Saccharomyces cerevisiae S288C: one gene and its partners. The protein of the gene in region 1 interacts with the protein of each later gene in a pairwise test. Each region holds a gene or a part of one and is shown in the gene's direction. Other genes may lie near its edges.

The links.
Region 2: the proteins of YHL042W (region 1) and YPL264C interact in a protein complementation assay, tested with the Saccharomyces cerevisiae proteins (one large-scale study listed by BioGRID).
Region 3: the proteins of YHL042W (region 1) and YPS5 interact in a protein complementation assay, tested with the Saccharomyces cerevisiae proteins (one large-scale study listed by BioGRID).

Annotation. Positions count from the first base shown.
Region 1 is NC_001140.6:9,197-20,230, forward strand, and holds YHL042W (uncharacterized protein), read left to right. Parts: upstream 1-6,470; coding exon 6,471-6,923; downstream 6,924-11,034. Other genes in the region: ARN2 (siderophore transporter), read right to left, coding at 1-1,017; seripauperin PAU13, read right to left, coding at 2,727-3,089; PXP3 (Pxp3p), read left to right, coding at 3,306-3,653; DFP4 (DUP240 family protein), read left to right, coding at 4,369-5,076; ECM34 (Ecm34p), read left to right, coding at 5,705-6,217; YHL041W (uncharacterized protein), read left to right, coding at 8,196-8,645; ARN1 (siderophore transporter), read right to left, coding at 9,892-11,034.
Region 2 is NC_001148.4:42,783-52,006, reverse strand, and holds YPL264C (uncharacterized protein), read left to right. Parts: upstream 1-7,662; coding exon 7,663-8,724; downstream 8,725-9,224. Other genes in the region: APM1 (Apm1p), read left to right, coding at 1-763; CUB1 (Cub1p), read right to left, coding at 1,049-2,704; YPL261C (uncharacterized protein), read left to right, coding at 2,703-3,011; fumarase FUM1, read right to left, coding at 3,205-4,671; KEL3 (Kel3p), read left to right, coding at 5,501-7,456; DIP5 (dicarboxylic amino acid permease), read right to left, coding at 9,138-9,224.
Region 3 is NC_001139.9:2,770-13,649, forward strand, and holds YPS5 (Yps5p), read left to right. Parts: upstream 1-5,700; coding exon 5,701-6,198; downstream 6,199-10,880. Other genes in the region: COS12 (Cos12p), read left to right, coding at 21-1,163; YGL262W (uncharacterized protein), read left to right, coding at 2,543-3,070; seripauperin PAU11, read right to left, coding at 3,521-3,883; YGL260W (uncharacterized protein), read left to right, coding at 4,091-4,321; YGL258W-A (uncharacterized protein), read left to right, coding at 6,393-6,626; VEL1 (Vel1p), read left to right, coding at 8,341-8,961; alpha-1,3-mannosyltransferase MNT2, read right to left, coding at 9,712-10,880.

The DNA of each region.
Region 1 (11,034 bases):
AAGTCGACTTTCCCAATATATGAAGCCTGGAACCAGGACAAAGCCAAGCACAAAGGGCCCGATAATCTTTGAATTTCTCCAATTTGTAGAGACGCCACCAGCAAGAGTGAGTGGTACAAGAATACAACCAACACCAGCAGTAAACAACAACACACCGACAACATCTAGCTTCCAGAACAACTGTACCAGCATTTGTACTAATCCGTGCGTTTGATAGTACGATTTTTCATCCTGTAATTCTTTCCATTCCACGTCATTTCTTACTTTCCATCTCATATGGAGCATACACAAAATCAATGGGATACAGCATAGAGGGAAAATGAACGCCCACATAGCAATATTCCACGACCAGTTCTCTAACGGGTTTGCTGCCTCCACTACACTACCTGAGACCCACGTAGTGATAATCGAGGGCCATGAAGGTATCAATGTGTAAAATAGCCTCCATTTTAATGAAGAATTATCAGACAACATCAAAACAACCTGTAGCATAACACCGACAAGTCCCACATAATAAAAGACAGCTCCAGCAGCATACCTCTGGACATCATATGCTTGAGATTGAATTATTGTACCCACAATGTAAAGTACAATGGATACAAGAAACAACGTTAGCCTTCCAAAGATATCTGATAACCCTCCAAAGATCACCTGTGAAACAGCAGATATCATTAGAACTATGACGCTTACTGTAGAAATGAGAGAATGTGCGGAGTACGAGTTCATTGCGTAGGTCATATATGTACCCCTTATGCTGCTATCTAATCCATAAGCGAAAGTGCAAATGAATGCAGAAAACAGGAATATAGCTTTTAATTGCCAAGTATCATACTTTTTAGCCATTAGCTCAGACTTACGAATAATCAATGATTTTGTTCCCTTTAATTTATCTTTCATTTCATCTCTGGGCGACGAATCGTCATCCATCTTTTCATCAACCATCAGTTCATTACAATTTTTTTCAGTATTCTTACGCTTTGTTTGGCTAGAACGATTGTCTTCTGGGACTTCGATCATATTTCCTTTGGCCCAAAGAGTTACAACTGTTTTTGGAGCTCAAGTGGAAAGGACACAAGCAAAGTTCTTCTACCAGGATCTCATGTCTTTATAGAAAAAAGTAAGGTGTAAAAAGGCTACTGGGTAAAATTCACCACGTTATCTTCTTAACTTGCCCTTAGTGAAAAGCTGTATCATTTCAGCTTCTGTGCAGATTAGTGAGTAACTGTCTTAGATTTGTGGAATCGGAGCACAGAAACTCCAGTAGGGTTGTTACGGACTACGTTCTGAAAGTATATTCCGTTTTCTTAAAGCAGGTGCAAGTTACTGGCATAACAGGACCCATCACTTCAGCCACAGCTTTGCTTCTAAAGATATATACGACATACTGGTAAAGCACGGAGCCCTACGGACGCTCAAAGTTATTCTTTTTTTTTTGTTCCTTACTGTGAACTAAGAACTGCACCCATTTTCTGATTGCTTGCTTGAGATAGGTGCTTATATACCGGGTGTTTGTATATAGCAAAGGTAGAGGGAGAACGGATTGCACACAACCCGGCCTGACAGGGAAATTTAATATCTGCAGGAAAGTTTCGTATGATCCCGGACGGGAGGGAAACCTTTAGAATTTAATAAAAGACGATCATTGGACTCACATAATTTAAATTAACAAGGAAAAATATTGCTAGGTAGGTTGTCGACAACTCAATATATATGAAAAAAAAAGAAAGATGCTAAAACGAGGCTTTTTTCTTTTGGACAAGGGGAGTCCAACCGCCCTGCATAAGTTTATTCAGCCTGTGAATGACTATAAACCATATATCATACTTCTTGCTTCTTTATACATTTTTTTCAATGGAAATATTTATATAGAAAGGGCGCTGCGCTTTTTGAGGTGAATGTTTTCATTTTTCAAGTTATTCAGTAGCGTTACCCAGTTGAGTGGATAGAGAATTCAAGTTTAAAGCTCATCTCAAACAAACAGTAAAGGATTCTACGCGGTACAGACTTATTTCCTAGTCGAGCATGATTCGATCATTGACATATATCCCATCTCTTGATCTAAGACTTGATCATTTTCTTTAAATTAAGAGTTTTGGGCAAGTGTAAAGCAAGGGTTAAATGATTATGTAGTTATGGAAGTACCAAATTCAAGTTCGTAAGAGGCTTGCTTTCTACTGATATATAAAACGCTCGACCGATTGGTTCTTCAATTGGTATAGCTAATAACTATAGCTGGACTAATTAAGACTTCAAGGACGTCTTACGCAAGCGTGGGTGATTTTATTATTAAACAATTTTTCTGTCTCTATACGCATATATGTTCTATAACATAAATATGTAATGGATACTAACCTTTTTCTGTGATTAACTTACTCTTTGCGTTACACCTCCATCTGACTCATAAAACAGGAAGACTCAGATTTATTAACTTTAGCATTTACGCCGCAAATGGTAAATGCTCCGGCCCGATACCCTGAAATAGCAACATGTACGAAAGAAGGTATTCAACTGAAGCCTTTTAGACAGACAAGACTATTGGATTATCAAGGCACTATATTTTACCACTACAGTAAATACTTCTGATAAGAACGGCATGAATAATCAAGTAGGTTTTATAATACTGGTATACATTAATATAATCAACTATTTATACTATCAAAAAAAAAAGCTTTTTTTTTTTTGTTTTTTTAAGTTTTATGGAATTTCATTCGTAAAGGCGTTTGTCTCTAGTTTGTGATAGTGTAGATACCGTCCTTGGATAGAGCACTGGAGATGGCTGGCTTTAATCTGCTGGAGTACCATGGAACACCGGTGATCATTCTGGTCACTTGGTCTGGGGCAATACCAGTCAACATGGTGGTGAAGTCACCGTAGTTGAAAACGGCTTCAGCAACTTCAACCGGGTAGGTTTCAGTTGGGTGGGCGGCTTGGAACATGTAGTATTGGGCCAAGTGAGCTCTGATATCAGAGACGTAGACACCCAATTCAACCAAGTTGACTCTTTCGTCAGATTGAGCTAGAGTGGTGGTTGCGGAAGCAGTAGCAGCGATGGCAGCGACACCAGCGGCGATTGAAGTTAGTTTGACCATTGTATTTGTTATGTTTGTTATGTTTGTTAGTGCTGATATAAGCTTAACAGGAAGGGAAGGAATAAAGACATATTCTCAAAGGCATATAGTTGAAGCAGCTCTATTTATACCCATGCCTTCATCAGTCATCACTACTTAAACGATTCGTTAACAGACGCTCATTTAGTACCTCGCATATTCTCCATATCTCATCTTTCACAGAATTTGATTATCACTATGAAGATGTTATTGTTTTTAAACGAGGCATGCATCTTTATAGATTCCGTATGCGAAGGTATTGTTTTCTGGGGCCTTTGTCTATTCGTATGCGCAGAATGTGGGAATGCCTATTATAGGGGTGCCAGAGTGCCTTATAAAACCCTTTTCCGTGCCTTTGAAGTTTCCGTTTTCGGTCAAAAAGAATATCCGAATTTTAGATTTGGACCCTCGTACAGATTCTTATGTTTAAGCCCATATTCAATTTGCTGTAAACAGCCTCCAATGGAAGAGGTAATACTATATTATCCCTCTCCTGATAGTTTAATTAAAAATAGAAAACGTGTATTGGGAGTCGCTTATTTGTAGAGTTTGTAGTTTTTAAGCGTTCTCAGGAAATTCATTGACGCAATTACGTAATTGTAGGCCGCTGAGAAGCAGCTAGTATTGGAAGAGCCGCGTATGGTAAAAAAAAAATGTTGAGTTCAGTTTGTAGCAGTACTACAACTCTGTGCGGTGGGAAAAATTTATTCTTCGAGGCACAGTATTTTTCTTCTAGCTAGATATAAAGAAAAGTGAAAAAGGCAATATATGGCGCTAATGTATTTTATTCAATTAAAAACTTTCTGTAGGAAATGGTATTAATAGTTGGTATTCCTTGTAGACAAAACCATCGCTATATTCATGGTGACGGCTCATCTCTAAAGCTTCTTAAATGTACAGTCAGCTAAGTGTTCTCATAAGAAAGGGTTTGAAGAAGTCTCCGATAGCGTGCTTTAGTATGTTGACGAAAGAAATCAAGATCTAGCTTATATGTCATAATGAAGTAAGTTATATTGGAGTTTTTCTGGTAAATTCTACAAAAGTTATGCAACATACTTATTTCTGTCCTCTTCTTACTCGTCTTGCGGCCAAAACTCGAAGAAAAACATACGGGCCAAGAAAAATGATGCAATCCTCCCAGTTCTAGATATTCCCGCTTTTAAGTCCCGAATTATAACAATATAAAAAGGATATAGAAAATGTAATTGTTAACTTGTGGTATAAAGACAAATTCAAAAGCAAGTGAGGGCCCGCTAAGGCTATGAGTTCAGAATTATTAATATCTAATTCTAAACCAAGACCAGAAGGATTAAGAAAATTATGCGAAGGTGAGACAGTGATCCTTCCAAGGGACATAACCCCCAGCAAATGCGCTTATTTCTTAAAACAGAATATCGTATTCATTTCATATATTTTCATCCATATTATTATTACCATAATCTTAAACCGCCTGGCATTATCTGCACACGGTAATACTTTGATTATTATCTTAGCGGCTTTACTAATTACAATTTCACTATTCCTTTTACTCCTCTTACCTTACTTAAGCTGCTCAAGATATAAGTTAAGATGTTTAGATGATGATTGTAAGTTCAAACTATTAGCGGAAGTCATTACACATAAACCTAACATGGACTTGAGCACATGGGACCGGATTGCATATGACATGAACCAATTTGTATATGACCGTCGTATATGTGCAGATAGATCTTTTTTCTACGATGGCAGTTATTGCTATCAGGTTTTTAAAAAGTTGGTGGCTACCCCGTACCTTGTGAATTCCAATATGAATAGTATATATGCTGATCTGGAGATGAGAAGTAATGGAGCAACCAACATTAACGATTCTGGTAATAGTTCATTACACATCGAATTGGGCACTTATATTTTTAAAGCATTGGCCGTTTTCAGGAACTCTGTTGACAAGTACTGGGAGGATAAGTATCCAGAGATGGGGGTCACAGTTTGATTGGAAGGTATTTCTAGGTTCTACTTTAGTTTTTTATAACGCATCCAGTACAAAGAAATGATATTGGTATTTGGAAAAGTCATTGAATATTCTTGAATAGATTATAAGTGAGCTTCCTTTCTGTATCAGGATATGTGGCTTAACTTTAAACTCGTATAATAAAAGTACTCGTATTTTTGTGGGATGTTTGCCTCCGTAAATTTATAAATGGCAACAGGAACACTATTATAATGTAATGTTACAATATTACTTTTACTGTATAAGTTTAATGCTTTATAAAACTAGATGGCAGCTTCTAAGTTGTGGCTTGTGTCGGAGGTTCAAGCTGTCCTCCAAGTTCAGCGCAGCGATTATTTGCAAATTATCTACGTAAGGACTATATAAACGTTTCGATGCCCTCTCTTCACATCTTTTGTGTCGAACCTCGAACATCGAGCATGCATTGTCCATTTTTGAGCCAGTTTCTGCTTATTCTCGTATTTCAACAATAATGTTGTTGCATAATGTACGCACACTTTGTGCGGCATTTTATAGCTTACAGATACAGATGAATTTACGAGCTGTATAAAAGAACTACAAGGAAGTTGTAACTGCAAAAAAATGTCACCGGGACGATATCATCACAAATATGGAGGGCCGCAAAAGTGAAGATGAAAAGAACGAAGCCGCTTTAGCCTGTGATGTCTTTGAATCCTCCAATGCCAAACTACCAAAGAATGTATTCAGAAGTTCCTTTACTTGGTATTGCTATGAAGTTATCAATAGGTCAGCATTCCATATTTGGTTATTGTTATGTTTAACGCTCATTGTTGGTTGGAAGGTTTTTTCAGGCATCGGTGGTAGAAGACCATCTGACTCAAACATGGACGGCCCCCAAACCAAACATAAACGGAATCCAGGTTTTTTGAGGCGTCATTCGACCATCGTTATCTTAGTTATATCTTTAGCAGTGTCTTTCTCATGGGAAGCTTTCAAAATGTATCGTGAACGCACCTTCGGGAAACAAATCACTCAGTTTGCCAAAGAAATTATTAAAAGTGCGCCAAGCACAGATATGGAAAGCTGGGACCGTGTTGCAGCGGATTTTAACTCTTATATGTACGAAAATAAACTTTGGAACACAGAATACTTTTTTTGTTGATGGTTCTAGCTGCCATGTAGCATTTAGGAGAACCCTTCTATGGATTTCCTCAAGAATTGACGGCGACTATAAAATAGAATATTTTAGGAAACACCCTTATATTGAAGAAGCCCTTAAAGTATATTTTGCAGAAGTGGATAGAAAGTGGAATTTAAATACTTCTCAGCAATTGTTAAGCAATATTTCGGTTGGAAATATCAAACTTCCTGGTCAATCATGTCGTTTCAAATTATTTCATATTTTCAAGAAAGTCATGAAACAGCGTTTTTCTCAAGTAGCAACTGTTATATTCTTCGTCATGAGTATCCGTTCTCCAAGAAATCTCGGCTTTTTTTTTACTCTTGCCCTTTTTGTCGTACTTGTTTGCTCCCAGGAATGGTTCTCCTTTGAAATGAATAGATCTTGTTCAATGAAAGTGGAACATAGAATGCAATTTTTGTCAACTATAATCAGTGAACATCAGAAATCGGATGTGAATTGTTGGGACCAAATCGCAAAGAAGATGAATGTATACTTATTTGAGCAGAAAGTTTCCGGCTCAGACGTGTTTTTCTTAGATGGAGCAGATTGTGAGCGCTTTTTCGAACGTAATTTCCTCCGTTATCTACCCTCAAGAAAGTCTTCCCATCCTGACCTACCAATTGCTGAATTGTTGCCGTATATCAGAAAAGCCGACATTGCCTGTGCTGGTAAGCAATTGATTTAACTACTGAAGTTTGCCTTTGGTTTGAAAAATAATTCTGCCAGCCAGACATGTTTTTAATAGCGCTAACCTAAATAATAATAAACAGCAGTGCGTAATAGACTTATGATACTACCTGATAATTAGTTTGACGTTTCACTTCGCAGCCTTTTCTGGTCTGGCCACAAGACTATATGGCATCAAGAAAGGTGTTTACGTTTATAACACACGTATTGTACAAGCTTTCTGCGTTGGCTTTAGTGTCTGTAGAAAATTATAGAAAATTCTAATTATGTTTTAAGGTTAAGTGCTAGTGGTGCTCAAAATAAAAAACTGTTTAGTAACTGCTCGTGTAAAATGGAAGTACTCCAAAAGTCCCTTTTCTTACTGAATTGCGCCGATTTTAACCTTTTAATTCGGATGTTTTATGTTTTTTTTTCTACAATTGCACCCGTTTAGTCCAAGGCATATTACATTTCGATCTGAGTTTAATGAATAGGAAGAATTTATTACATAGCATACCAGTCCCTTTTAATGGCACCATATTTTGTGCATATGTGATACATTGGTAGGCCACAGTGCAGATCACACACATCAGTAGCGCATAATTATTTTTTTGCCTGTTCAATTTAACTCTGCGCAAATAGCGCATCTCTATACGCACATATCCGATTTCAGCACGAACTATACTGCGGGAACTGTAAAACTAAAAGACATGGTAATAATTTTCATGTTTTTCAATCCCTTACAATGGACAATCTAGCCAATGTCCGAATCTGTAAAAGCGGTAGATGAAGAGATTACGAAGACAGGCAAGTGAAAGATTAAGATAACTTGCTACAACATATGAAAAGGCTTACTTTAGGCTTCAGGCACCCTATAGAGGCCAACCACTTAATAAATTCTTGGCGTAGTGCAATCAAGCAGTGAACAGAAACAAATCACATGTTTCCTTGGCAGAATGCTCATATAAATGATGACGTAATTTTTACAAGAATGCCATATATTAACTTTTTAGGGCCAAATTAAGATTGAGTTGAAATATTCATTTTTACACTACTAATCTTTTTGAATGCGCGCAGTTTTCTAAGTATCAAGCTCTCTGCAATCTTGTATGAAAGATGCAGCTAGGCACATAGGAAATGAGAAATCATAGTTATTTTTATTTTTATTTCTCTCCGTAAATATGCACTTCATACAAACAAGGAAAAAATATGATCAAAGAAAGGCAAAAATAGTAAGTTCAGGCAATATAGAGAAAATAATTTATTTCTACAAGTAGAGGGGCGCAGTAGAATGCATTTGTATAGCATAGCCAAGTCAACAACAATACTGCGTTTTCTAAGGCATATTTTATTGCCATTTTTGCATCTCTCTATTCATTTTACTAGTTGCTTGTGCAGAATAATCTATGTTGGCTGGAAAAGTTTTTGGAAACATTTTTTTTTTTGCGGGCATAAAATAAAAACTCCGCTGTTCATCGCTTCCTACGCAATGTTCTTAGCCAAGCAAAAAATTATAGTTACAATGTTTGAGGTTTCTTCCGTTCTAGAGAAACTGCCGCAGAATATTTTACTGTTTCACTACCCTCTTCCTTCCAAAATGGGAAATAATTTATTAATGTCGTTCTTAACACAAAGATCGATCGATGAAAAGGAAATTGATGCATTATTACATCCTAATGCGGTCTATCGTTTCTGCAATATGAGAACCACATTCAGAACATTATCCTCATATGGCAAATAAACGAGATATCAAGATACCGGACCCCCTTTTTTACAGTAGATAAACCGGAGAATACCAGAGTATTTTCCAAATATAGAAAGAAAAGGGTTATTTCTAATTCTCGCTCTCTGTTTTTGGAAGACGAAGTTATTAAGTTTTTGCCTGCATTTGGAAACCTGCTGCGATTTCCTCGATATTGAAAAAAAGTAAAGGCCACAAGAAAAAAATTTTATAGTTGCCTTGGGATGACAAACAGCTGGATATTATTATTATTGGCAGTAGCCCTAGTATGTTGTAAAAGAGTTATTTACAAGATTTTCTTTTTACGAGGGCACGTTATAACGTTGGACTCAAGGGGAAAGTTTCTAAAGGCACAAATAAACATTATGGGCTTATGGAAAAGGTGCCAGTGACGTGATGGTTACGCCTCGCCATTCATGTTAAACGATGTAAATTACTTCTATTACAGGATATTTTCTTGCCTTCGTTTAGCGTATTATCAGCCCTTTTCTCTGTTTTACAAATAAGGAAAGCGCGACGTCAGCCAATGTGAATACCGTTTATGGTTCAACCTTGTCTACATTTAGCTACTTTTTTTTCTTTTTCGAAAGCATTGATGCGTTTGCTCGGTGATTACATCATAATTAGTGAACACACGCAGCAAACCGTGATCACTGCGAGTATTCTACTCTTGTCATCCCAGACTACAAGTAAATCATACTATCTCTTTACAAGCTGAATGGAATGGGGCTTAGCCGACTGGAAGGATAGGCTTGCCAAGGAAAAACAAAGAAAAAAAGGCGAGTGGATTTAAGATTCAGCGACCGCCTGTCTTCCCTTCCTTTTTCACCATAGTTGACATAACACTTTATCTTGTCTTTATATCTCTTCTCGAAGCACTTATGATAACCGACTTCAAAGTCAAGGTACATAATTATTCAACGCCTCTAATTTTTCACTTGTTATGAAGCAAGTGCTGAGACAACTGGCCAATCGATGTTATAAACAGGCAGAACAAAAGAAGTAAAGATATTACTCTGTTACGTAATATTAAGTAGTGCCGCACTATACATGTAGATATGCATATACTGTTATGGTAAAAGGAATATGCAAAGAACTAGACATTTCTGATCTTTTCTTTTCTTGGTTATGATCATTAGAATGGTAGAGTCTTGTAGAGAGGAAAAAGTAGGAGGTGACACCGTATATTTTGGGCAATATAGTCATGGAAAGTGATATCAAGCAATCATGCAACGTAAACATCAACTTATTCCCGTTTAAAAGTGAATTTTGATGGAAGTTTTTCAAACCAATCCAAAATTGGATCATTGTCTTTCGTGTCGACATATTCGCCATCCTCGATGTATTCCACAGCAACAGTATCAGTCAATTTAGGATCCCTTAGACATAAGGAGAATGCAATTAATGGAACACAAAATACTAAAGCCACGATAGTTTCCAATCTTTGAACGTATTTGTAAGCGTTCATTAAGGCATTCCTTTGTGGGGTACCCCAAGTATAGGTTTCAATGAAAGTATATGGAGATTCGTAGGCAGTTGTGGCTAGAGCAACATCACCCATTCTCTTCAAAATTTGTTTGTACAAAGTCTGAGTCCAAATGGCACCGGAAACTGCGGAACCGACAGCAGAACCAATTCTATAGAGGGTATAGTTTAAAGCTGTAACTGTCGCCATGTTTTCATGAGAGACGGCAGATTGTACAGAGACGGTAACTGGGTAAGTGAACAAAGTAGTGCCCACACCCCAGACACATAATGCACCAATAATACCTGAATGGGACTGACTTCCACCTCTAAAGTGGTACAATAAACCCATAGCCACCATCCATAGCGCGCATCCAAACATTATGAATGGTTTCAATCTCGTACATCTTGTTACAAGTAAAGCGAAAAATGGAGAGGCCACAGTAGAGACAAATGAAGATAATGTGGCAATTCTGGTTGCAGATTTAACGGATTCATTGACGGCAACAATCATAACCGTGTACAAATAATCAGCGGCCATATAGTAAATAAAATCAATCAGGAAAGAAATACCCATAGAAGACCATACAGCCCTATCTTTGACCAGCCTATATGGAAGAATTGGATCTCTAGCGAATCGATATTCCCAAATCCATAAGATAGGGATCAAAACAAAGCCAAGAACAAAGGGGCCGATCAATCTTGAATCATTCCAGGTAGTTTTGACCCCACCAGCCAAGGTCAGTGGGACCAAGATACAACCTAGGGAACAACCCATCAAAAGGACACCAACGACATCTAACATCCAAAATAATTGCTTTAAGATCTTAATAAAACCATGTTCTTGATAATAGGACTTCTGGCCCTTCAAAGCGTGCCATTCAGGAGTCTTTCTGGCCCTCCATTGCATGTGCAACATACACAA
Region 2 (9,224 bases), on another chromosome or scaffold:
TGATAAAGGCATTTTCTCCAAATATTTGGATGATGATACAAATATCCCATCAGCGAGCGCGACAACATCCGATAATAACACAGAAACTGATAAAAAACCATCAATAACATCATCATCGGCCACAAACAAGAAGAAAGTTAATATTGAATTGGAAGATTTGAAATTTCATCAATGTGTCCGATTAAGCAAATTCGAGAATGAAAAAATTATAACGTTTATACCTCCTGATGGAAAGTTCGATTTAATGAACTACAGACTATCTACTACGATAAAACCGTTAATTTGGTGTGATGTAAACGTTCAAGTTCATTCGAATTCTAGAATTGAAATTCACTGTAAGGCCAAGGCCCAAATTAAAAGAAAATCTACTGCAACTAATGTAGAGATATTGATACCGGTCCCGGACGACGCGGATACACCGACTTTTAAATATTCACACGGGTCTCTAAAGTATGTCCCTGAAAAAAGTGCAATCTTATGGAAAATAAGAAGTTTTCCCGGTGGTAAAGAGTACTCAATGTCTGCCGAATTGGGACTGCCTTCAATATCAAATAACGAGGATGGCAATAGAACAATGCCAAAAAGTAACGCGGAAATCTTGAAGGGACCTGTCCAAATCAAATTTCAAATACCCTACTTTACTACTTCAGGTATTCAAGTACGTTATCTTAAAATTAACGAACCCAAATTGCAGTATAAGAGTTACCCATGGGTAAGATATATCACGCAAAGTGGTGATGATTATACAATAAGGCTGACGTAATGTCTGAAAAATATATAAAAAAAGCAATTTCTACGGTGCATGGACAAAGACACAGGGTACGTATGTCCTTATTCCTCTTTTTCTCCCCCCTCCCATTGACAATTATGATAATGACATAAAGTTGTTTATATATTTTTGTTTTTATATAGATGCTCATTCAGGGTTTGTTATATACATAGACATAAGAGAATAACTTTTTTTCTTTCTGTATTTCATTTTATTGTTTATAATGTTTTCCTCTACCAAGAAAATAGGGAGAAATGGAAGATAAAGAAACACTCTCCTCTATTCCTGTTGATATTCAGATTCAGGCTCGCTGTCGTTTGAGTTCGAGTCTATGCCTGATTCTCCGTTGTCATCGTCGTCAGAACCATCACTTGAAGTAGAGTTCTGTGCTTTTTCCTCGGCTTCCACTTTTAATTCATGCAAGATATCAAAACATTCTGCTAATAAAGCATTCAATATACCTTGGCCTTCAGGTATATTGCCATCAGAGTCATAGAATATACCTTCAGTTCTCAGGTTGTCCAATGAAGCCAATTTCATTTGATAAGGGTATAACTCTCTTTCATTATTCACACCTCCCATTCTTTTCAATTCTAATAGGCAACGACGAACTGTAGATAGTTGATTGTGAATTGGCTGCAACGCTTCAGATACGGGCTCTGAACTTTCCAACAGTTTATAAATTATGGCATAACATCTACGCAACAGGTATAAAAGTATTGATTGCCCCTTTGAGTCCTGAGATTTTGTTGGAAACTTACCATTGATTCTTTTGTTATCAATTTCGTTCAATTTTTTTTGGTAAGAAAATAAATCGGTTTCTCTCAAAGTCCATCTTCTTGTGATCATTAAATTTTCTAAGGTAGTCTTTATATCAATCAGCTGTTCATATATTGGCTGTAAATATGGATCTAAAGTCAACCCGCCATTTTTTTGGTGTGATAAATCGTTAACTAAATCATGGCAATCATCCAATAAACCATTAAGGACACTTTGGCCTTTTTCTGCCACCTGATGAGACTCCAAGGACTTGAATTTACCAGAATCGTCACGATTAGATTCTAATTCACTTAATTCGTTCTTCAAAACTGATAATTTCTCATGGACATACTCTTGAGATACTAAATGTTTGTCATCCGTTAAGCTTTCATTGTTCGTTTGCAAATCATTTTGTTCCTGCAATAAAGAGTTGGTATTAATATCAGATTTAGACATTGTTTTTTTAGCAGATGCAACTAATGACAATAAACCTCTTCTAATTCGGAATAACTTTTCCATTACAGTAGACAAAGACGGATCAATTTCCTCCAATTTGCCTTCCAATATATCATATTCGTCCTTGCAATGCTTTAATTTAGCACGTAGTAATAGGTCTTCCTCAATTTTATTCTTTTTCCTTTCGTTGTCGATTTCCCTTAATCGGTCATCATTTCCATCCTCATCGTACGCAGGACTAGAGTTTTTTTGTTCGACAATCTTGCTGATTTCTTCCAGCCTTTCCTTAATAGGACTCAAATCGTGATGGGTGAAGACGTTTGATTCATTTAAATGTTCCAAAAGACTCTCCACAGTAGATAACGATGCATAAGTCGCAGGTGCAGAATTTTTTAGCCCAACAGTTAAAAAACACAACGAGAGCAATTGAAAGACATCATCCAGTACGGAGTCAACTCTATTATGCAATTCAGTACTATGAATCAGGGTGGCGGCGCTCTTAGCGGGCGTCTCATGACTATTCTTCCTAATATCGTCCAACTCTCTGACTTTGGTCAAGACGTGTTGGTAAGTAGTTTGGACATCCTTAGAGTTCAAATACTGGGTCCTATTTTGCTTGAGTTTAGCCAAGGAGGATCTCACTTCAAGGAGGTAGTTTAATATGGATTCCTCTTCCTTAGGAACAATTTGAGGGTGTTGTTGTCCAGCGGATGCAAACATGCTCTTTTTAGACAGTTATTCTCTTCTAATACAATTTCAGCGTTTTAAAAATTGGGAAAGTCCTCGAAGATTTAGTAGTTCTTTTCCTTTGCTTTTGTTTGTTTTTAAACCGATATTTGCTGCTAAACTTCTTAAAGAGATTTGCTCTTCTGGTGTACTCTCTTATTCGTTATCATTTCTGAAAATTCCCCTTTCCGTGATGCGGGTAATACTAGGTCCCTTACCCGACGACAAGAAATTAAAAAATGACGCAAAATATTCATTTATGAACTATTTTATTATAACTTGTATAGGAATAATAATGTAGTGATGTAAATTTATGGGCCCCATTAAGCCATCAAAAATGGAATGTATGCCTATGCTCCTCTTCTGACATAACTGGCCAGAGGCGGGACCTTAGCGGAGGGACCATTGCTGAATCACAAATTCTCTCCACTTCCTTATTTTCCTTCATATAATAAGACATAAAAAACTTGTATATTATTAGGTATTTAGCTCGTTTATTTAGGACCTAGCATGTGTTCAGGAACAACCCATTCATCAAATTCCTTTTCAGTCAATACACCCAATTCCAATGCACTTTCCTTCAAGGTAATGCCCTTCTTATGAGCATTCTTGGCGACCTTGGAAGCGGCATCATAACCGATCTTAGGGTTCAAAGCGGTGACTAACATTAAAGATTTAGTCAACAACTCATGAATACGAGGCTCATTGGCTTTGATACCTTCAACACAGTGCACTCTAAATGAATATGCGGCATCAGTAATTAACCTGATCGAATTCAATAGATTGGCGATCATGACTGGCTTGAAGACATTTAACTCGAATTGACCTTGAGAGCCGGCAAACGTGATAGCTGCATTGTTACCCATGACTTGCACACACACTTGAGTCAATGCCTCGTTTTGGGTTGGGTTAACTTTACCAGGCATGATTGAGGAACCTGGTTCATTCTCTGGCAGCATTAGTTCATGGTAGCCGCAACGTGGCCCGGACCCTAAGTATCTTATATCTTGCGCTATTTTGAAAAGAGAACAAGCAAGGGTGTTTAGAGCACCGCTACATTCGACAATGGCGTCGTGAGCAGCCAAAGCCTCGAACTTATTAGGGGCGGTTTGAAACTTTAGTCCAGTTTCTTTGGAAATTTGCTCGGCTATCTTGACATCGAATCCGGGCTTGGTGTTCAACCCTGTACCAACGGCAGTACCACCTTGTGCCAGGAAACTCAATGTTTTCAAAGAATGTGCCACTCTTTGGATACCGTTCTCAACTTGTTGCACGTAACCGGAAAACTCTTGACCTAGTGTCAAAGGCGTGGCATCTTGCAAGTGTGTTCTACCGATCTTCACAATATGGTCAAATTCCTTGGATTTGGCTTCAAGGGCGTTCTTTAAATTGGTCAACTCAGGTATCAACTCGTTTTGAATTTGCAAACTGGCAGCGATATGCATGACAGTGGGGAAAGTATCATTGGATGATTGAGATTGGTTGCAATGATTGTTTGGATGGACTTGTTTAGATCCAATCTTGCCTCCTAGGATCTCAATGGCACGATTGGAAATAACTTCATTAGCATTCATGTTAGACTGGGTACCGGAACCCGTTTGGAAAACAACCAATGGAAAGTGGTCGTCTAGCTTACCAGAAGCCACTTCGTCAGCGGCCTGTTGAATAGCCTTGGAGATCTTGGGATCCAATCCCCCCAGAGACTCATTCACAATCGCGGCAGATTTCTTCAAAACACCAAATGCATGCACCAAAGGCAATGGCATTCTTTCACGAGCGCCACCAATCTTGAAGTTTTGAAAGGATCTTTGAGTTTGGGCACCCCAGTACTTATCAGCAGGCACGTGTATCTCACCAAATGCATCGGTTTCAGTTCTGAACGAGGAGTTCATTCTTCTTATATTAAGCTTATATGACGATTTTACGAAAGTCTTGCAACTACAATTGGTAAATCTCAACATGATTGTATCTCTTATCCGTTTAATAGTTAGACTTTATGGAATTTCTTGACGTGAGAAAAAAAACAGCTGCAGTACTAAAAGTCACGAATTTAAAAATGCAAAAAAATGACTGTATGTAATGGAGAAACGATATGAATATCCCAGAAGAAAGAGCTAGAGTCACTCCCCCGTGTGTTCGGTCCGGCCTCCTGTTGGATGCTTGTTTAACGTCTACAACAGTGATGAAGATTATATATAGCCTATAAGAAACGCAAAAAGGCTTTACAGGAAAGAGCCAATCATCGAACGCCCATTCCGGGAATCGGGGTAGTCATTCCGAGGATCGGCTCAGGGGAGGGGCCTGAAGCCTCTCCAATATGGTAGTGATAGCAAGAACTAGAGACATTTACTGCTAGCTTCCATAGCTCTCTAACCACAGGGTACGAATAATAACCATTATTAGGTACTGACATTATGATGTCGCCCGCGGCGATTCGGAAGGGTTTAAGGACACGTCTTAACAAATGGCATTACAGAATGGCTATAGGCGACTCACTACTATGTATTGACTATGTAGGAGATACCAAGCTTTGCTTTACGAGCCCTCTTTACTTTTTTTCTTGTATAGTTATAGTTAATGTAGTAGTCGCAATAACTGCGGTAGTAGTACTAACATCAGTAAAAGTAACGCTTGGTAGTTTTTCTGCCCGGTTTAACCATTGATTTGATGAAATTGTAGAAAACTGAAAAAAAAAAAAAAAATGAAAAAAAAAAATGATGAGCTTCTCGAAGAATACATTAACCACTTATAGGAAGGAGAAGAGATCTACTAGACTCGTAGAAGTGATTAATGGCAAAGAAGAATAAGAAGGATAAAGAGGCCAAAAAGGCACGTGCTGAACTGAAGAATCAGAAAAACCAAAAAAAGCAGGAGAAAAAGTTTCAGAAGAACAAGAATAAGTCTTTAAACGGCGAAGAAGATGATGAAAGTGATCAAGATCTCGATGAAATTCTCTCTAGCTTTAGCAAAAAGCAAATTGAATTAGAGCATGTAGACATCACTTCTGTGGAAAAACCCTCTTGTCGTACTCATCCGTTGATGTTTGCAAATCCGCAACACAATAAACATGAATTGTTCATTTTCGGTGGTGAATTTACAGATCCAGAAACCAAACTAACACATTTCTATAATGATTTGTATTCATACTCCATAAAGAACAACTCTTGGAAAAAATACGTTTCGCAAAATGCACCTTTGCCCAGATCCAGTGCCGCTGTCGCTGTGCATCCTTCCGGAATAGCACTGTTACACGGTGGTGAATTTTCGTCCCCAAAACAATCTAAATTCTACCACTATTCTGATACATGGCTGTTTGACTGCGTTGAAAGGAAATTCACTAAGTTGGAGTTTGGCGGTAGAGACTCTTCACCCAGCGCCAGATCAGGTCATAGAATTATTGCTTGGAAAAACTATTTCATATTATTTGGTGGATTTAGAGATTTGGGGAATGGTCAAACTTCTTACCTAAATGATTTGTGGTGTTTTGATATCTCAACCTACAAATGGACCAAATTGGAGACAAACAGCAAACCTGACGCTAGATCGGGTCATTGTTTCATTCCTACAGATAATTCTGCCATATTAATGGGTGGTTACTGTAAAATCATTGCCAAAAATAATAAAAATTTAATGAAGGGAAAAATCTTGAATGATGCATGGAAACTGAACTTAACGCCTGATCCAAAGAAGTGGCAGTGGGAAAAATTAAAGAATTTCAAGAACCAGCCCTCACCAAGAGTCGGGTATTCGTTCAATCTATGGAAGCAAAACAAGTCCGTTGCTTTTGGTGGTGTCTACGATTTACAAGAGACAGAGGAATCCTTAGAGTCCGTTTTCTATAACGACCTATATATGTTCCACCTAGAGTTGAACAAATGGTCTAAACTTAGAATTAAACCTCAGCGTCAAACGAATAGTAAAAATTCACCCGCCACAAGTAAAAGAAAATCTAATAAAGATCAAGAAAAGGAACTGCAGGATTTACTAAATTCCATTCTGGCCAAGTCTAATCTAAATGACGACGACGATGACAATGATGACAACAGCACAACGGGTCCTAACTCTATCGATGACGACGAAGATAACGAAGATGACAGTGATTTGGACAACCAAGAAGATATTACCATCTCAAATCAATTACCTCACCCAAGATTTAACGCAGCAACTTGTGTAGTGGGCGACTCGTTGTTCATTTACAGTGGTGTCTGGGAACTGGGCGAAAAAGATTATCCTATAAACTCATTTTATAGTATAGATTTGAACAAGTTGGATGGTGTCAAGGTTTACTGGGAAGACCTATCTGCCATCGAAGAAGCAAAGAGACTAGGTGATAGAGATTCGGACGAAGATGAGTTTGAATACGAGGACGATGAGGAGGATGAGGACGACGGCGAAGAGGAACAAGATGCAGGACCCCTTGAAGGTGATGAAGATGAGGAAAGCGAGAGCGACGATGACAAACAAGCGCAGATGGAGATTCCAGACGAAAGGTCTTGGCTACCACACCCAAAACCGTTCGAAACTTTAAGAGCATTCTACTTAAGGGAAGGTGCAAATTTCTTAACCTGGTCTATTTCTAACAACAGAAACCTTAAGGGTAAACAGTTAAAGACGAAGTCATTTGAGTTATGTGAAGACCGTTGGTGGGAAAGAAGAGATCAGGTGACCCTTGAGGAAGAGCGTCTGGAGGATACAGGCGGAATCATTGAAAGAGATACGACTACTAAACCTTCCAAAAGAAGGTAAACATTTTCGCTTTTGTAGTTGAGTTTAAAAAGTATTTATAGCATTTTTTTTTTTTATAGATATCTGTCTTCCATATGGCATCCTTTTCTTTAGTCACTAATTGAGTCATCTGGAAAAAAAAACAAAGGAGACAGGGAAAATTATCTCATTATTACATTCACGAAAGCTGCCCCAACAGAAAAGTAGAATAAACACCTCCTCTCTCAATGACGCTGCAAAGAATTAGTAAAGATTATCTAAAGCCTAATTATGGACTTATCTTACTTATAGTGTCTTATTTTTTCAATTCTTCTATGGTAGTTTCTACCAAAGTCCTAGAAAATGACCCACTGGAAACTTCGCAATCAAGAATTAATCCTCTGCAAATCCTGCTAGTAAGGATGTCTATCACGTACTGTTGTACGCTAGTATACATGCATTGGAATAAACAAAGTGTTCCAGATATTCCATGGGGCCCAGCACCATGCAGGAAATGGTTGATACTCCGAGGTATAATGGGTTTTTTTGGTGTTTTTGGAATGTACTTTTCTTTAATGTATCTAAGTATAAGTGACGCTGTCTTAATCACCTTCATGTCGCCAACCCTAACCATTTTCCTTTCATTTTTACTGCTGGGTGAGCCATTTAGTAAACTTGAAGCCTTGGGGTCCCTAATTTCATTTTCTGGAGTGGTGTTAATTATTAGACCTACATTTTTGTTTGGTGAGCAGACCCAAGGCCAGCAATCTCCACAAGACGATATTGTTGAGACTCAAAATCCCAAATTAAGACTCATTGCTATCGGGGTGAGTTTATTGGGGGTTTGCGGATTGAGTAGTGTTTACATTATCATAAGATATATCGGTAACAAGGCACATGCCATCATGAGTGTCAGTTATTTCTCGTTGGTTACTACTGTTGTGGCAGCCCTCGGTGTGCTTCTAATTCCCTCGATGTCTTTACAACTGCCTCATTCGTGGAAGCAGTGGGGGCTATTTCTGAACTTGGGTATTTCTGGATTCATTCACCAAATTCTGTTAACAATGGGAATCCAGAGGGAGCGTGCAGGAAGGGGTTCGTTAATGACTTATACTCAAGTTATATATGCTGTTTTCTGGGATGTCGTGCTCTTTCACCACTGGCCAAACATATGGACGTGGTGCGGTATGGCAGTTATCGTTAGTTCTACTATATGGGTCATTAATATGAGAGCCTCCAAACAAAACGTTGTGGCTACTGCCGAGCTACTCTCCACATCGGACTTTGAATTAGATGATTTGGAGGATTAAGTGATACCTGTACACTATGGTTCCATGTTGCAGGTGGCTATATTTGAAAAGTCTCCACATATATGTTAATAAGATCGATTACTCCACAAACAGAAAATAACGAAGACTTGAACTTTTCTTATTTTTATGTTTTTGTTTATATTTTTGAATTTAAACTGTTTTATAGAAATGTATGTAATATATAAATTTTATTTTCCTTGAAAAAATGGGTATTTTTCTTTCTATTTTTTCAAGAAAATCTTCCTGTAAATTAATTATGCAATAATGCTGTGGTAGGACTGGAAATAAAAAATGTTGATAACGATTGTTATTAAAGGTAAAAGAAAAATGATCAAAGAGAAATTCTTGTGCTCATTTTTTTGATTGGATGAATATAGTTTCATGTTGCCCTAAGGCTTTGATTAAAAAGGCATCTAGAAGATATTACCCAAAAATTTTTCATAGAACCACTCCATATTTTTACCGTTACTTTTTAAACGCTCTTCCTTTTCTTGGTCCTT
Region 3 (10,880 bases), on another chromosome or scaffold:
TGAACTACATCGCCATAGGCATGGATGGAGCCAAATTTGAAAATACTGTAGCTTTTTTACCATCTGAAATATTTGATTGCTACAATTCCACGCTACCCAAGAATGTATTCCGAAGTTTTGTTACCTGGTCCTGCTATGAGAAATTCAATTCCTTAGAATTCCGCACTTGGCTATTAATGTGGTTACCACTCATTATTGCGTGGAAAATACGTGGTAAAAGACACTATCTCGTTATCGTTACTGCTCTTATGTTTGAAGTGCTGTATTTCTTATGGACATATTCGTACATATTCCGAGAACGCACCTTAGGAAAGCAAGTTTCTCAATTTGCTAAAGAGATCATTACAAATACTCCGGGTATAGACACTGAAGACTGGGAACGTGTTGCAGTAAATTTCAATTCTTATTTATATGAAAATAAACTTTGGAATACTGAGTACTTTTTTTTTGATGGTTCCAGCTGCCAAGAAGCGTTCAGAAAGATGCTTCTTGAGCCATTTTCCTTGAAAAAAAATGACTTTGCTAATGCCAAGGTACCTGACGGATCTGTTTGTTACACTGAAAAAGCTTTGCAGGTTTATTTTACACAGATAGAGAGAAAATGGCACTGGATTAATTCTGAAGGATTTTTACACAATAAAACCACACAGAGTGTTCAATTTTCGAAACATGGTTACGGTTCCAAACTTCTCTGGGCTTTCAAGGAAGTGACAATAATGAATTCACGCTTTGCGTTCTTCAGTATTGCTTACTTAAACGGTCTCCTTACTATACCAAGACTAAGAAATTCACTGCATATCCTCTATGTATGTGCAGTTCTTTCATCTATGATAATTGAATATTTAATAGGGATCGACAAATTCAGGTTCAAATCAATGAATCTGATACATAAACTACAGTTCTTGTCATATATTACATGTGGACACGAGAAGTCTGATGCAACTAATTGGTCTCAAATTGCGAAGAGGACGAATACTTACATGTTTGAGCAGAAAATTTGGAATTCGCCAATACTGTTCTCAGATGGTATTGATTGTGAAAAGTTTTTTAAATGGTATTTCAGTACCCCTGTATCTTCGCAAGCGTCTTTGTCAGTTGGTTCCACTGATTTTGAACTCTGGCCATATATAAAAGAAGCACAATCAGCTTGCAATGATGTGTAATTGGTAAAGATATTGATATACTATTCTTAAAGACCAAAAAAAAGCTGTTAATAACCCAAGTTTAAACATTAGTAGATAATGCAATATTTGATGAAGTCTGTAGAGTGCCACTATACATCGTAATAAAATTACACAGTACGTGCTTGTACGGTCGCCATATCATGAGATTACTTGAAGCTTCCTTGAAGCTCATACCGTAACCAGTTTTATACGTTTTTCTTTCCTCATACCAACATCCTTTAACGTTTGTTGAGAGAAAATGCGGTAGTTTTTGTAAAACACCTTACGTGAAAGATATTATTACTATTTCAAGACCAAACGCGTAACGAATGTATATTCTAGTACTGCGTTAAGGTATGAGTTACCCATAATAAATTTTATTACTATTAACATTTTCTTGGAGTACTTCGTTTTCTTACTTGATGTACGTTGCTATACAGTACGCATTAAAGAAATTGCAGCTATCGTCGTGTTTGGTTCATACGGTTGAGTTAATATTTCAAAATAATGTCCGTAATAATTATTACCGACATCTGTCTGCCTTTTATTAACATATCTCGCGTTCAACCTGTGCGTTGCTTATCGCTTGAGTAGGGGCGAAACACCTGTTGAAATCTTACGGTGAACTTTCACTATTTAAAGGACTGCTTTTCTCCAAGAGTTTTTATTATACAGAAATATCGTAGCAGTATCCCAGCGGGAGATAGATCCTTTTCAGAAATTAACGTTCATGACTGGTCAAGAGAAAATAGGCGCTAAGCGTTTTCAGATCTGCTGGAGAGTTTGGAGACGCAATATACTGCTATTCATCTTTGTATTTGCTGTTTCCTTTTATTATTTTCGTTCAAGAGATGCAGAAGCTATAGTTAATACTACGGTAATTGCCTCACCTGTGGTGACTAGTTATCTAATGAAAGGCAAAACTACTATTGGGCGTTAGCAGGTGGTGCCAGTGGATTTTCAATTACGCTAGCAGGACTCTCCGGTGCATACGCCGCTAACAAATGTACAGCAGATTCAGGTAGTACTCATGCTGGACTGGAGCTGTAGTTACATTGGTAGCAGATGCTTTAGATGGAGTTGCTACCACTGCTGATACGATTGCTGGGGCAGCGGCTTTGACGGCAGCAGCGGCAAAAAAGATCTACTGGATATATTGCTACTATTGCTGGATTAGACTTCCATTCTTCAAGTCCTCGTAATTTCACTGCAATCAACACCACCATGCAAACAGTTGGTCTTGTATTATCAGGAGCATTTGACTATATGAACACATAGAAGGCTAATGGCTTAGAAAAGAGAGAACAAAATAACACAGTTACAGAAATGCAGCATGTTTGATATTTTAGTAGTCAGTTGGGTCTTCATGTGCCACTCACATGCGTAATAATGTGACTGAATTGGTCAACAGTATAATAGGTGTTCAAACACCTGGATCGCTACCAGATACTCTTTCTGGGGCACATTCATTGCAGAGACGCATAAGCTATTTTGACGTCAATTGGATATCATGGAATTGGGACAATGTAAATGTTGATCTTAATAAAGAGGTAAAAAAAAGTAGGCCCCTCCTTGGGGAGGAGGACGATCAATGCATGTTCGGTTGGTTCGCAAATAATCCAGGGTGGAAATATTACTGGTCGGTAACTGATAATCCTGATCCAGGATATAAAGAGAATTACTCTGACATTGGAGATGAAAATGCTGTCCACGGTGAATTATATTTTAACACATATGGGGGGTTGATGGCTTCTGTAATGACAACAAAGATGGTGCTCAATGCGAAGAGACAGCTTGTGGTTATTGATACAATTGTGGTAAAGGCCATCTGCGATTATGTTATGAAATATTGGAAAAAAAAGGTTAACCTTACTACGATATCATTATATTTGATGTTAAAGTTATAAAGCCAGACATTTTCAATCTTTCTTTAAATCAATGAAAGAAGATGCGCAAATATTGAAAGCATTGACTACTAAGACTTAGGAAAAAGCTTCTGTTGACGATTTATAATGTTATATCAAATAATTAAATTTATTTCCTAGATTTTTGAATTGTGAGAGACATCCCTAGCATGATTTTTTTTCACATATACTTTCAATTTTAATAGAAATGGAGCCGTCAAATTTAACTTATTTTCTATTTTTATAATTGAAAATTTTATTTATTCATCTATTCTACATTTTATTTTGGTGTTGGGATTTTTTTCCGGCTTAAATATATGGTCAGATCTTTTATTTATATTACACTTATCTACAATTTGTATTTATATCATCAAAAAGAGCTTTTTATTTCTATATTTTATTTTTCGTTACTTACCAATGTCTATAGAATTTCGTTCGTAAAGGCGTTTGTCTCTAGTTTGCGATAGTGTAGATACCGTCCTTGGATAGAGCACTGGAGATGGCTGGCTTTAATCTGCTGGAGTACCATGGAACACCGGTGATCATTCTGGTCACTTGGTCTGGGGCAATACCAGTCAACATGGTGGTGAAGTCACCGTAGTTGAAAACGGCTTCAGCAACTTCAACTGGGTAGGTTTCCGTTGGGTGGGCGGCTTGGAACATGTAGTATTGAGCCAAGTGAGCTCTGATATCAGAGACGTAGACACCTAATTCAACCAAATTGACTCTTTCGTCAGACTGAGCTAGAGTGGTGGTTGCGGAAGCAGTAGCAGCGATGGCAGCGACACCAGCGGCGATTGAAGTTAATTTGACCATTGTATTTGTTTTGTTTTTTAGTGCTGGTATAAGCTTAACAGGAAAGAAAGAAATAAAGATATATTCTCAAAAGCATACAGTTGAAGCAGCTCTATTTATACCCGTTCCTCTATCAGTCATCACTACTTAAACGATTCGTTAACAGATGCTCATTTAGCACCTCACATATCCTCCATATCTCATCTTTCACACAATCTCATTATCACTATGGAGATGCTCTTGTTTCTGAACGAATCATACATCTTTCATAGACTTCGTATGTGGAGTATTGTATTATGGCACTCATGTGTATTCGTATGCGCAGAATGTGGGAATGCCAATTATAGGGTGCCGAGGTGCCTTATAAAACCCTTTTCTGTGCCTGTGACATTTCCTTTTTCGGTCAAAAAGAATATCCGAATTTTAGATTTGGACCCTCGTACAGAAGCTTATTGTTAAAGCCCATACTCAGTCTGTTCTAAACGGCTTCCATGCAAGAAATATTTCTATCTCTTGAATTCGTACAACATTAAACGTGTGTTGGGAGTCGTATACTGTTGGCGTCTGCAAATTTGTGAATTCTCCGCGAATGCCTTGGTGCAATTACGTAATTGTAGCCGCTGAAGGCGGATGGTTTTGAGAGAAGTTGATGTTCAAAGAATCGTGTATGATAAAAAAAAAAAATTGTAACCAATTCGTAAATACTGAAACTCTTTGCAGTAAGAAATCTTTCATTCCCAGAGAGAACGCGGAAATATTCAGCCTAAGTCTCTCCAAATTGATTTCTTTCATTTTGGTAGCGAAAGACTTAGTATCAACCTCAAAAAGCTGAAATTTTTGTAGATATATGTGCAGATGACATGAAGTATCCAGCTCTTTTGTGAATATGGAAGCAAGTTTCTTTCAAATTATTATCGACTTTTCCTCTGCCCCTTTTACCTTATAACTTTAGGAAACACTACCCTATTCATACTCAACTAAAAAAGTAGTACGTTTTCTTCTTTGAGAGGTATGGTGCAAACCAGTGCAATCTGATTCCAGATTGCCCTCACGTGAGGCTTCAGTAAATCTCGATCCCTCTACATATTATATTATCTCCTACTTGGCAAAATAGATGTGGCTTTAGTTGATGAAAATTTACCACGTCAACTATTTATGTCCTTTCTACAATAAACCCCGACCTACTATCCTCTATGTTGTTTTTAACATACCATACGAGCGTCATATGTCTTTTGGTTCACTGGGGAAGACCATCACTGTTGAACGTTTGTTGAAAAGTTCGAGATGATGAAGATTGCATAACAAAATGTAAAGTTATATTTAGAAACTATAACGGTTCAAGACATTCAACACTATAACATAGCTTGGCTGGCTTGAACAAAAAGAGGAAGAAGCAAAAGCAAGAGTAAAAAGCTTCTCATATATTTCTGGCATTGTTGATCACCCAGTGCAAGCCCAATTTCGCCTGTGCTTTTCTTAAATTGTTTCTGACAACACCGAGGTTTTCGCTGCAGAAAAGGACATATGGTGGTAATTTGTATAAGGGGTTAAGGGTCCAAAAATTTGCTACCCTATCGCTCACTATAGCAAAATATCTCGAGAGATATCCGAGGAGTTAAAACTGACTAGACCTGTTGCGTAAACCTCATGCAAGCAGTACTCTTCGAGGATTTAAGCTTTGGAACTGCTTTCAAAGTTGAGAGTATATAAGGTGTTATGATCTTGGAATAAGGTTTTTCATCGTTCTTCCTTGTTCTCTATTTTCATTGGTTGATCAGTTGTTAAATTTTGTCTCTTTCGAAAATAAGGATATTTGAAGACAACGCAACGCTATCAATATGCAATTGTTTTCCATCCTCTCTTTGTTGTCATCATTGATGTGTTCATTGACCGTTTTAGGGTCTTCCGCAAGTTCCTATGTTAAGTTTCCTGTTCAAAAGTTTGCTGATATTATAAATATAGGCACACAGGATGTTTCTACCGTCTTCAAAAGAAATGAGGTTCTTAACACCACAGTGATAAATGGAATAGGAGTGTATGTTGTCAAGATGGAAATCGGAACGCCTCCACAAACGGTGTACCTACAGTTAGATACTGGCTCTTCAGATATGATTGTGAATAATGCTGACATTGCCTATTGCAAATCGATGTCTGACGGATCTGACTACGCTTCAACTGATAATTACGAACTCACGGCAACATTCACTGGGCCTCGTTCTACTACCACCTCACCAGAGCTTATAACACTGTCCGCTCTTATAGGGGTAAATTCAATGCAAGAAACTCATCTACTTTTAAGAATAACGCGACTTTCTTCAATGACATATACGTATTAGAAGGAACCTATGGTACGGACGTTGTCTCTTTAAAGAATTTTTCACCTTAAATAATATCATTGTTGGCCTATTAAATTATAAAATGGGCAATCCAAGTGGCATTTTAGGCATATCCCTTCCCCTTGCAGAATTTACAGATAATGTTGAAAATGCATTTGCTTTGAACAGAAAACTCTTCGTATATGAGAATTCTAATGGCATTTGAAAGACAAGGAAAGATCGAAAAGAAGATATCGTATTCCTTATTTTTGAATGGACCTAATGTACACTTTGGGAGCATCTTATTCGGTGCAGTCGATAAAAGTAAGTACGCAGAAGAGCTCTGCACACATCCTATGCGTCAAGCTTATAATACCCTTGATTCAAACTCAAGAATAATTATCACAGTACAGAGTGTTGCAATTTTGGACGGCAAACTTGTATGGTAAAAGTGTTGTAGATATTCAGTTTCCAGTGCCATTAAATTCCGGTACATATTCTGTTTACCTACAAAATTTGTAAATTGGATTATTAAGAGTTTTAATGAGAAATATAACTCTGATGATCAAGGCTACACTTTTGACTGCTCAAAAGTCAGGATACTTTACTGTGTGTCGACTTTGAATGACTTAATATATTGAGTTTATCTCCGATAGTGTCCCAGCGCCACCCCTTGCTCCAGGATACTCCAGTATGTCGGTATATAAGTCTGATAGCTCCATCGGGACAGGAGATTTTATTAATGTCAGCTGAACCTCGTATTTAGAATTTTCACAGTACACATCATTGCTTGTCACTGGAATGCAAGGCGATGGTGTTAGTTCTTTCCCAAGTGGGGGCAGTTCTAGCAAAATGGCCCCTAAAAAAAAAAAGGTTGCATATATCGTTCTTCTTTTTCCTATTCATTGCTGTGCTTCACATCTTATTTTCTTTCATAATTAAAGAAGAGCCATATAGTTTCGCATTGTACTACTGTGTAAGACAGCAAGTTTTTTGATAGACAACAAGAGGAGCTATAGTGGTAATACGAGTTATACTCATAGGTCCTATCTCCTATTCGTATTTATTACATTGTACTCTGCGGCTTCATATACAAATAATAAACTTATAAGGAAGGATTATACATTTTTGGAAATATTATCGCTACGATAGATAATGTGATGAGTTTTACAAGTGTAAAATTCTTCCGTAGAGTTTGAGGGCAATCGCAAAATTTCCGGAGAGTCCTTGATAAATTATTACAGTGAAAACGTATATGAAATGTTCCAATTGAGATATCTCGCTTATATTAATACTTCTTCTTTCTTTTACCATATATTTTCTAATTGGCCGCTCAGCTATAGCGATCTTTACATGTATACTTTGAAGTTTTTTTAAACAGTGCACCCGTGCATCATACCTCATGCAAGGTACCTTTTTTTCTCAAAGGTATTGTCTTCTATTGAAGTGGCACTATGGCATGATGAACCCTGAGCATTTCCGAATTCAACAGAACCAAATTGTCCAGAATTAAATCTGTCCGTCATGAAATAAGCAACTTTTTTTCAATCAAGTGAAGTGAGTTTTGCAGTATCTTACCATTATTTTGACCTATTGGCCGCATGTTTGTGCTTTGACTTCGAGAACCATGTTAAAGCTTACTTGTACGACAACCAATGAAGTACATTACGGCAGTTTTTTGGACTGGGTCAAAAAAAGTGTTGCATAATCAAATCAGGAACACATTAAAATGTTATAAAATTTGTCTTAGTATGACCTGAGTGGTTATTCATTACGTACTACTGTCAAAATATTCGGATCTTTCCTAAACGGGCTTTTGAATTAGTGTTGCTTCTATTCCTGGAATGGAAGGTAGTAATTTCATGCATTCTCGCTTTTCGGACTTTTAACAATAAATTAAAAACAATGATACTTTCATCAACTACCTATACACCCTGCGGGTCAATTATTTTTTTTTTCGAATAACCGCTGAGGTTGGAAATATAGAAACATATTCCAGATCTGTATTTTCAGTTGCTAGAAAAAGGTTAATATTATCATTAAGGTTTTCAGCATATAACAGGTATAATTGATATATAAGCATCGTAATTTTCATTCAAAATGGAGAGCTACTGCTTCTGATAGATTGTACAATCTCAAGAAATCAAGAACAACAACCATACCATGAGTTTCCTAAGCATTTTTACTTTTTTCAGCGTCCTTATTTCTGTTGCAACAACCGTCAGATTTGATTTGACTAACGTTACCTGTAAGGGCCTACATGGACCTCATTGTGGTACCTACGTTATGGAAGTCGTTGGTCAAAACGGTACATTTTTGGGTCAATCTACGTTTGTTGGCGCCGACGTCTTGACTGAAAGCGCTGGTGATGCTTGGGCAAGATATTTGGGCCAGGAAACAAGATTCCTCCCAAAGTTGACTACTATTGCTAGTAACGAGACAAAGAACTTTTCTCCACTCATCTTCACCACCAATATCAACACTTGTAACCCTCAATCCATTGGTGACGCTATGGTTCCTTTTGCTAACACTGTTACTGGTGAAATTGAATATAACTCTTGGGCAGACACTGCTGATAACGCTTCCTTCATAACCGGTTTAGCTAACCAATTGTTCAACTCTACCGATTATGGCGTTCAAGTTGCTTCCTGTTACCCAAATTTTGCTTCTGTTATCTTAAGCACCCCAGCTGTGAATATTTTCGGTAAGGATGACACATTACCAGATTATTGTACCGCCATTCAGCTAAAGGCCGTTTGTCCACCAGAAGCTGGTTTTGATTAATCTTTTCTCACATCCTCACTTATAGATATGTTTTGATTATTTTCGTTATAGACAAAAATCTTTTGAGAAAGCCATGCGGAAGTTATTTTTAACTGTAAAGTACAATCGATTTCCTTTAGGCATTTCTACTTTCTTCTGACCCTGATTTAAAATTTTCGAGTTCTTTTTGTTACGATGCGTTATTTATTGTCGATTTATTACATATAATTCTTTATAATATAAAAGTGCAATACAGTGCATCTAGATATGGATTTTCAAAATTTTGCAGAATATGATCGGTTTGCCTACAAGATAAAAGTAAATTATTCACAATTTCCAACATTTAAAAGTGGCGATCGCATAGTAAAAGCGTTAAGAATGATGCTACATCCCACATGAGAGTGGTTCGATTATGCTGAATTTCAACACCAATTCAATATACTTTAATTTAAACAGACATTTATGATGCCAGAGACATAAAGGATCCGAAAGGTTTTAGGAACACCTTAGTGGAAAATCATTTTAGCGTGGCCGGGAGTACCAGATTTTTCATAGTTCCCTATTGCAATCAATTTGGATTTTTGCTGGCGTTGCATCATGGCTATGTTATCCAATGCATGCCAAGAGTGATTTACTTAAAGAGTAACTTCGTTACAAAACATTACGTTATACTTCAGTGCGATAATTTTTCAGATATCAAAAATTATACTACATTATACAACAAAAGCGTGTAGGTTTACCTATTGCTTATAAGACTAGAACAACTCTTGGTCAAATATCTTTATTCCATATGTCGACTATTTGTGAAAGCCGGAGCTTTTCGTCTTCTTTAAATTTGATCAACTTTCCAAACTCACCTTCCTTGAATAATGTGCAATAATTGAACAAAAAACACTCTCCTGAGTTAATCCATCCTGATATACTAGTATCTGGTATTATAATCCCTTCAAGTTTTACTGGTGATGCATAATATTCACGTAATTCATCTGCATTTTGGAACATATCATTTAGTCTCTGTCTATGCTCATAATCGTATTCCCATGAAGTTTTTTTACAAATATTAAGGCCCCCGTTTAGCCATAGCAAGGACCCGTCCCTGTCTGTATGAGATAGTTGCACAGAACAAATCTGGTAAAACTCACCGGTACTCTCTTTTGAAACTACATTGCCCAACTGACCAATGTTTGATGCATCCACAGGATGGAACGTAAAGCGATTGTTCGAAAGTAATTCGCCCAGCCAAAAAAAGTCCTTATCACCATGAAAATATTCTGCAATTGGAGAAAATTGTAAAGCTATTGAAGTAAGCATACTGAAGAGATGCTTTCCTTTATGCAATATTACCAGGCCGCTTTCCAAATGATGTTTATATTTCTTTATAAACATGTTTTCCAGAACCTGTGCAACCACTGGATCCTCTACTTGCTCATGTATCTTGGATTCATCCTCTAAATCAAGCCCAATACACCCATAGACAATTTCCCTTAGAATTTTTAATTCAGAGGATTCAAATAGATCATCTGATATTACCCGATCTTTAAAGAATAGAACTCCAGTCTTTTGAAATTCCTCTAATTCATAAAATTTTTCTATTGAAACAAAGGGCACTGTATCTGAGTCCATTAGAATAGGAATTTCAAAGGATGAGAAGGTCAATGCTAACCACTTGTTGGAATAGGTGGTAAATTTTTTCGAATATTTCGGGTTTAGCAGACTATGTACATTTAAAAACCATAATTCTTGAGCAGGATATTCAGCGGTGTCTAGACTTCTCGCATATTTGATAATAGATTTCATGGAATCTTGACTCAGATCTGCATTATGAACAATCTGTATAGGATAATCATTTTTGATGAACCTCAACACTTTCAATAAGCGTATGGTTTCATTCAACTGCACGTCAGAAGCACTAATAACTATGCCTTTCGAACCACTTTGAG